Linked DNA regions of Sus scrofa. The protein of the gene in region 2 purifies or fractionates together with the protein of the main gene of each other region. This does not show direct contact. Links are inferred from orthologs where the notes say so. Each region holds a gene or a part of one and is shown on either strand. Other genes may lie near its edges.

Region 1 (3,747 bases), on a different chromosome or scaffold from region 2:
ACCGCATGTAGGGTACCACAGGAGCCTGCCCGCGGGTGGCGGGCCTCACCGGGGGCAGCTTTGTCCAACGCAAGGACACTGTGGGCACAGCTCTGCTCAGCCCTGGGAACCTCCCTTGAGGCTATCCACCTCTCCCCAAACCAGATGTGCGTGTTCTCCATCCCTTTTGGCTGCAGGCACCCACATCAAACCTTCCTCAGCCGCCCAGTTGCCCTCCCTGATGGGGGCGCCCAGGGATGGTCCCCAGGGGAGCTCACCTGCATTGAAAATGTGTACATCAATCTGACGCAGCGTCTCATAGTCCTCGCCGGAGCAGTAACCCCCGAAGGAGTACACCCTGTGCCCGACGGCCACTGCAGCATGGTTCACCCTGCGGGGCCCGCCCTCCAGGTGCACCGTCCAGCGTAACATCCCCTGGGCCACTGGTTACAGCCACATGCCCCCCCGGCACGGCCTGCTGCCTCTGCTACCTGCACACAAGTTAGGACCGTGGGCTCCTCAGGCAAGGCCTTTGCCTGGCTCACCGTGACTCTGCCCAGGACTAGCCCTGGCCTCCAAGTGTCACCCTGGTGGCCCTTCCACACCACCCCTCTGCAGCTCAGGTGGCTGGCTATGTACTAAGGGAGCTGCTGAGGTCAGGGAGCTGGCCCCCGGCCCTGTGTTCTCCAACAGTGAAGGGTGGGGCCACTCTGACCTGACTGCCAGCTCGGCTGCTGAAAAAGGGCTTAACATGGTTGTCTCCTACTTACCGAGGCTCCACCCTGTCCCTGGCCAGGCCCAAGCTCCTCTTTTCTCTCTGGCTCTGCTCTGCTTATTGCCACCTCTCTAAGAATCTGTGTGCTCTTTGAGGTGGGGAGCGGGATCTCAAAATACTCAGAGCTATGAATAGCCCAGGCAGCCCCAAACGGTCCATTGAAAGCTGGCATGAGTGTCTCCAAGCTGAAAAGCTTTTAGGCTTTCAGAGAGGAACAGTCCCTCTATCCAGGACAGGGTGGGATGAATCCGGGACGGGGACTTCCATGGACAGTTAGCCCCTCCTGGGGGGCTCTTGTGCAACTGAGCTGTTGTCAGCAGGGTCACCCAGGGCCCCTCACAGGCACGATGAGTTCCTTTGACAGCTGTGCCTGGGATGCTGCCAAGAACTTAAGCCAGAAAGGTATGTGTCTGCCGGGGATTGAGGGGGTGGGGGTGGGGAGGCGGGGTTTTCTCCTCTTGCCACTTGCCCAACCCTGCCATTGTGGTAAGGAACAAGCTGTTTCCAGCAGCTCTTTTCCCGTTTGGGGCCCTGAAAGGGGATGGGGGTGGCGATGTGCCTTGGAGAGGAGCAGGAACACAAAAATGCCTTTGGTCAGGATAAGAAAAAGACCCAGGCATGAGCGGTCATGGTCTCTGCAAGACAACCCACCAACCTAGAGATAATGGGTACATTTGAAGGCTCTGTTAGACAAATCCTCTTGCAGCTGGCACTGCCTTCGCTGGCAGGCACCTGCTGGGTTTGGGTGGATCATCTGCTCCCTGTTCAAGAAGCCCTGGCAGAGAGAAGAGCTAGCCCGAACCTCAGGCACAGAAAAAGCTCAAGTAAAGGAAGGTCCCTTGCAAGAAAGACACAGGGCTTTGAGCTGGCTTGCCAGACCCCTGCCCCCACCCAACTTCCCCCAACCCTCCCCCACTCTGCCAAACCTGAAATAGCCCCAGCAGGAAACCACTCTCACTTCATTACTCCCGTCCTCAATCCAAAAGCTCTTGGATCTGGGCTTGTGGGGACAGATAGGAAGGAAGTTGGAGAGCTTAAGAATGGGGGTCCTTCCTCTTCCCTCACAGCTTCTACTCTCCTCTTCAGCTATATCAAGGTAAAGTAAAGAATTCACTGGGCAAGAGGGAAGCAATTCCATCCAAAGGTAGAGGAAAAAACCCTCAGCGTCTTCTCCAAAGGACAACTCAAGCTCATGAAAGACAAGCCCCAGCATCTCCCGGGCGCCTCTGATCCCTGGGGCTCTCCCGTCCGTGCTCCATCACTGCGGCATTCTCCAGCTTCTTCCATGCCTTTCAGAGACCTGCCCCCCTTCCTATTCTCTTGCAATTTTCACTCTCCGTTTCTGGCCTTTTCAGATCTCTTGAGAGCTTTGCAGTTTTCTGCTTTTTCCTTCTCCCACAACTCCAAGCTCCACCCCGACAGCCTTCCATTTTCCTTCTTTCGATAGGGGGGAAACAAGCTAACATCCCCTGACCCCTTTCGGCCAGAGATATTCCTCCCTGTATATGACGCTATCCGGGTCTTCTTCCAGTCATTCCAACCTCCCTGCCCCCACAACACCAGACACCCCCGCCCTTTTCTTCCATTATCCTCAGCTTTCCCATTCTCCTCCTAACCCAGTCTTCCTTCCAGTTCCCTTCAGTGCCTTCTCCAGTTACCAGGTCTCTCCCATCGCTTTCCCCACCATCCTCCCCCAGCCCTTCTTTCCCCCTTAACACTCTCCTTTCCCGTCATCCCCCTCCCCACCCCCACCTCATCGGTCTCCGGCCCCTCCCCCACAATTCAGCTCTAGGCATCGGCGTCCCCATCCCCTATGATTTTCCTCGTCCCTCAACCCACCACGGGCTACCTGCCAGGCCGGGCCGGGGCGGGGCCGCGGGTCCTCGCGCTGCCTGCAGCTTTGAACCCGTTGCCCGCCAACTGCCGACTGGATCTCCAACGAGATAAACACAGCCAGGCTCGGTCCTTCCGGCGGGCAGCTGTAAGCGCACGTGCATTCAGCTCTAAGTGCCGGAAGTCTACCGGGATTTGTAGTCCATCGGTTTCGGGAGGAACGCGAGGGGCTGAAGGATGGGCAGGAGTCGGAGGAGTCTGCGCATGTGCTTATACCTATCAAACACCGCGGGGCCGAGTTCGCGTTGCGGCTCAGTGGTAACGAACCTGACTAGTATCCAAGAGGATGAGGGTTCGATCCCTGGCCCCGCTCAGTGGGTTAAGGATCCGGCCTTGCCACGAGCTGCAGTGTTGGTAACAGACGCGGCTCGGATCCCGTGTTGCTGTGGCTGTGGTGTAGGCCGGGCAGCTGTAGCTCCGATTCAACCCCTAGCCTGGGGACTTCCATATGCTACACAGGCGGCCCTAAAATTAAAAAAAACAAAACAAAACAAAACAAAACCAAACACAAACAACCGCGGGGCCTACCGGGTAATGTAGTCCTTTGTTTGGCGAGAAGATGGTGGAGGCGGAGCAAGGGGCGGACCCTTCGCCTTCACTCGTGTCAATCATGAGCGCGGCGGGGCGGGGCTGGAGGACGGGGCCGCCTCGGAACGTCCTGCCTCGCCGGAAGTGAAGGTGCGGGGTTCGGCCGCGGGCTCTGAGCGGGTGAGGCGCGCGCAAATACCGGCGCCGAGAATTGGTGGGGGCGGGTCGGGGACGCCACATCTGGGGCCATTTGAAGGGATCTCCTGGGGTCCGAAGGGCGTTTATCAGGCGGTACAGAGGGAAATCCCTTAGAGAGGAGAGAAGGGGGCGGGTATGCCTTGTCTAGGGGAGCTTGTTTGGTGACCCGGAGTTCCTAAGTGGATGGGGCGGGGGGGAGGGCGTTCCCGAAGGGGTGTCTTTTGGAAGGTGGCATGGCCTTCGCTTGGGCTGTTATTTAAGAATTGTCGGAGCAAGGCAAGTGGGCCTTGGTTGGAGATAAGAGCCAGCTCAAGAGGTGGAGAGTCCAGGAGAGGTGTTGTGGGGTGCAGGAAACTTGGGCGTTTCAATGTTTT
Region 2 (3,647 bases):
AAAGTAGGAAAAAGAAGAAAATAGGAAAGGAGAGAAAACAAGAGGGGAGGTAGTTAGGGAGAGACTGATTATAGGAGAGAACAAGAAATAAGAGAGAAGGCAGGTGACTTGTTGCCCAAATTTGGCTCTATGGTCCTATGAGCCAAAATGCATACTCAGTGACATCGTATCTCAGAGTAAAGGGAAAAGGGGGGTAAGCTGAGAGAGGTCAGGCCATGATGTTAATTTCTTTCCTGTACAAAGACAGTCTCTTGAGGACAAAGGCCTGCCTCTTGTAATGTAATGTCATAGTCCAGATGAGAGAGTTTCCTTCGAGGGAAGTTGGTGAGAAGTTCAAAACGTTCATTTGGATATCCTTTAGACTGCACATGCTTCACCAAAGCCTGTGAAAATAAAAGAAAGACAAAGCTGTTAGATGGAAATAAAGAGTATATTGAAGAATTAAAAATATAACATTAATTTTTATATTAGATGAGATATAAGTTATTCTTTCATATAATTGGCCCTCTTGTGGAAGGGCCAATATAAACCTTCAGATGGGGAGAAAATAAACCTGTATCCAATAATTTAGAGTCAACAAGTGATCCTGAAATATACAGAGTTATCACTATTTCTCCAATAAACAAACCCAATTTTTGTTTATAAAATTATTACCCTCATTTTTAAACACTTATCTGTTTTCTTTCCTTCTATTTATCAGGGAAGACATGTCCTTCAGCCCACCTACAGCCAATCTTGCCACCTGTGCACTGAATTACTTCCTGCCTTCTCAGAAGCTGTGCCACTAGAGAACACCATTCTTTATAGATATCAACATCTCCTTTACTCCTTTACTAGTGCTTCCCATCAGACTTTCACATGCTCAGTCTCTCCTTCAATCTTCTCTTTCCCTCTAATTACTGCCCACTCCCCATTCTAGCTTCACAACCAACCACCTCAAAAAAGTGGTCTATATTTGGTCTTCATCTCCCATTCCCTTCCAATTACTAGATTAGGGAGACAGTCCAGTATAAGCACCAGAAGCCAGAGACGCTGCATTCCAGTCAAGGTTCTAAATTATCTGCAGCCATAGCAAATGGCCAGGCATGGACCTGACTCAAGGACTGATTCACAGGCTGGGCTAAGCAAGTCAGATTCATTCTCTTTTCCAGGAGTTGAAACACACACAGAGGGAAGGACCATCAGCTGTGGACTATGGAAGAAAAGGCCCTCACAGCATTACTATAATGGACTATCTACAAACTATACACAAAAGCCACGAGAATAGAGAGAGAAGAATGGAATGCAGCAGAGAATCACAAGGGTAATCAAACAGGCCCCAGGAGGGAAATACACAGAAAAATCATCTTGGTTCTTAACTACATTGCAGTTCCAGCTACTGGGAAACCCAGGAGCCTCATTATAGTCTTCAATTAACCCCATTCCCTCTTTCCAGGTAATAATTTCAGTTGGATTTCTATTATATGCAGGCATGGAACAGAAAAGCCTTAAAGGGAACAGACTAGGTGAGTTGTCCAAGACAATTTGGGAAGGAAATAAAGCAGTTAGAATTAAGATTCACCACTGTTAAGTTTCCAGTTAGAGATCAGACCTAACAACCATTTCAAAGAACCATCAAGCTAATTATGCCAATTAGTTTCTCTGCTTCAAGTAAATGTATCCAATTAGATATACTTACTAGTAGTTTAGCTTGTTCTGGGAGAGTGATTTGTTCCCTTTTTCCATCTGGATACCGCAACATCAGCTGTGCTTTTGGTCCTAAAGGAAAGGTTAAGAAAATACAGGAGCTTAAAATAGAAGACTAAACAAATAAATAAACCCCTTCAAGTTTTAAGTAAAGGACGTCTAAAATGTAACCCACCATTTACATCTATGCCCTCCACCACTCCATCGGATTTTTCAGGTGACATTTCCAATATTTCTGAATCCACGGATGGTAACCCTTGGTGATTTGTGGCTGTTCCAGGCTCAGTTCTGGCAGGGGGCTCAGTCAGTGACCTTCTGTTCTCCTCTTTTCTATGCCCCAAATCTTTATGGGGAGACTTTCTAGACTTGGCAAGATTCTCTATGTCCTCCTCTTCATCAGAGCCACACACAGATATGAACTCCTCACTGCCAGAAAAAAGTTCAGATTCAGATTCTTCATCTGAGCGGCTATCCTGTTTTGTCTGTGTGGAATCAAAATGTGTCTCTTGCAAGGAGGCTCTGATGGCAGCTTCTAGTTGGCTGTCTTCACTTGCATCTATAAGGCTCTCCTGCAAGATGCAGTTATAAAACATGGATAGAAAGAAAAAGGAAAGAGTTAAACCAAAAACTAATCAAGTCAAACAGGGCATAAGAAATGTAATAGCTTGCCATTATTATTTTCTTCTAGAGGCTATCTTTTCTACTAAATGTTAAGCTATTTGAGGGCAACAACTCTGTCTTACAGAGCGTAGTTGGAATGGAATTTTAAAAACAAAAATAAAACTTTCATACATACTACCTGGCACAGTGACTACAAGCACAGCATTTTTTGTTTTGGAATCAAGGTGAATAAAATCAAGAAAACAATTTATCAGAGTTCCCATAGTGGTGCAGAGGAAATGAATCTGACTAGTAACCATGAGGTTGTGGGTTCAATCCCTGGCCTCACTCGGTGGGTTAAGGATCTGGCATTGCTATGAGCTGTGGTGTGGGTCACAGACGTGGCTCGGATCTGGCATGGCTGTGGCTGTTGCGTAGGCCGGCAGCTACAGCTTCGATTAGACCCCTAGCCTGGGAACCTCTATATGCCACAGGTGCGGCCCTCAAAAGACAAAAAGACCAAAAAAAAAAAAAAAAAAAAAAGAAAACAATTTATTCCCTATCCAGAAAAAGACAAGAACTAGGTTTTAAATTTAAAGCCCAAACATTAGCCTTTAAAATGACTAAACACACAAGTTCCCATCGTGGCACAGTGGAAACAAATTCAACTAGGAACCATCTCAATCTCTGGCCTCGATCAGTGGGTTAAGGATCTGGTGTTGCTGTGAGCTGTGGTGCAGGTTGCAGGCGCAGCTCAGATCCTGCATTACTGTGGCTGTGTTGTAGGCCAGCAGCTGCAGCTTTGATTTGACCCCTAGCCTGGGAACCTCCATATGCAGCGAGTGTGGCCCTAAAAAGCAAAAAATAAAAAAATAAAAATGACTAAACACAGAGAAAGATATCACTGTGTACTTCAACTAGCACTGCTTTGGTACATGGAAGACTATCAATAAATAATTCAGTAACGATCATTTTGCAAAAAAATCTAACAGATCTTTAACATTCAAAACAAAACAAAATACCACATAATAAACAGGGAAAAAACAACTGTATTTTCCCAAGCTTAATTTCAATGAAGGTTTTCATTGTGATCATGAGAAAAGCAAATTTCAGTAGTTTTCCCCCTGGAAAAGTTCTAATATCAAGATTTCACTAAACTTGGAGTTCCCATCATGGCTCAGCAGAAAGGAATCTAACTAGCATCCATGAGGATGCACGTCTGATCCCTGGCCTTGTTCAGAGGATTAATGATCCAGTGTTGCCGCAAGCTGTGGTGTAGGTCGCTGATGAGACTTGGATCTTGTGTTGCCATGGCTATGGTGTAGTGCGGCAGTTACTAGCCTGGGAACCTCCATATGCCA

Evidence for each region. Proteins that work in one complex are often made in the same cells at the same time.
Region 1: the proteins of UBXN7 (region 2) and KLHDC3 purify together in Homo sapiens (affinity purification with mass spectrometry; 3 studies listed by BioGRID and IntAct, with this or other methods). This does not show direct contact. The link is inferred for Sus scrofa from reciprocal best matches to the Homo sapiens genes UBXN7 and KLHDC3.

The regions. Positions count from the first base shown.
Region 1 is NC_010449.5:38,079,833-38,083,579, reverse strand, and holds the start of KLHDC3 (kelch domain-containing protein 3), read right to left. Parts: upstream 2,668-3,747; 5' UTR 2,604-2,667; exon of another isoform or gene 2,594-2,603; intron 1,841-2,593; exon of another isoform or gene 1,681-1,840; intron 1,530-1,680; exon of another isoform or gene 1,410-1,529; intron 1,365-1,409; exon of another isoform or gene 750-1,364; intron 471-749; 5' UTR 412-470; coding exon 258-411; intron 79-257; coding exon 1-78. UniProt on the Homo sapiens protein: Substrate-recognition component of a Cul2-RING (CRL2) E3 ubiquitin-protein ligase complex of the DesCEND (destruction via C-end degrons) pathway, which recognizes a C-degron located at the extreme C terminus of target proteins, leading to their ubiquitination and degradation.
Region 2 is NC_010455.5:133,741,660-133,745,306, reverse strand, and holds part of UBXN7 (UBX domain-containing protein 7), read right to left. Parts: intron 2,256-3,647; coding exon 1,862-2,255; intron 1,759-1,861; coding exon 1,679-1,758; intron 384-1,678; coding exon 222-383; 3' UTR 1-221. UniProt on the Homo sapiens protein: Ubiquitin-binding adapter that links a subset of NEDD8-associated cullin ring ligases (CRLs) to the segregase VCP/p97, to regulate turnover of their ubiquitination substrates.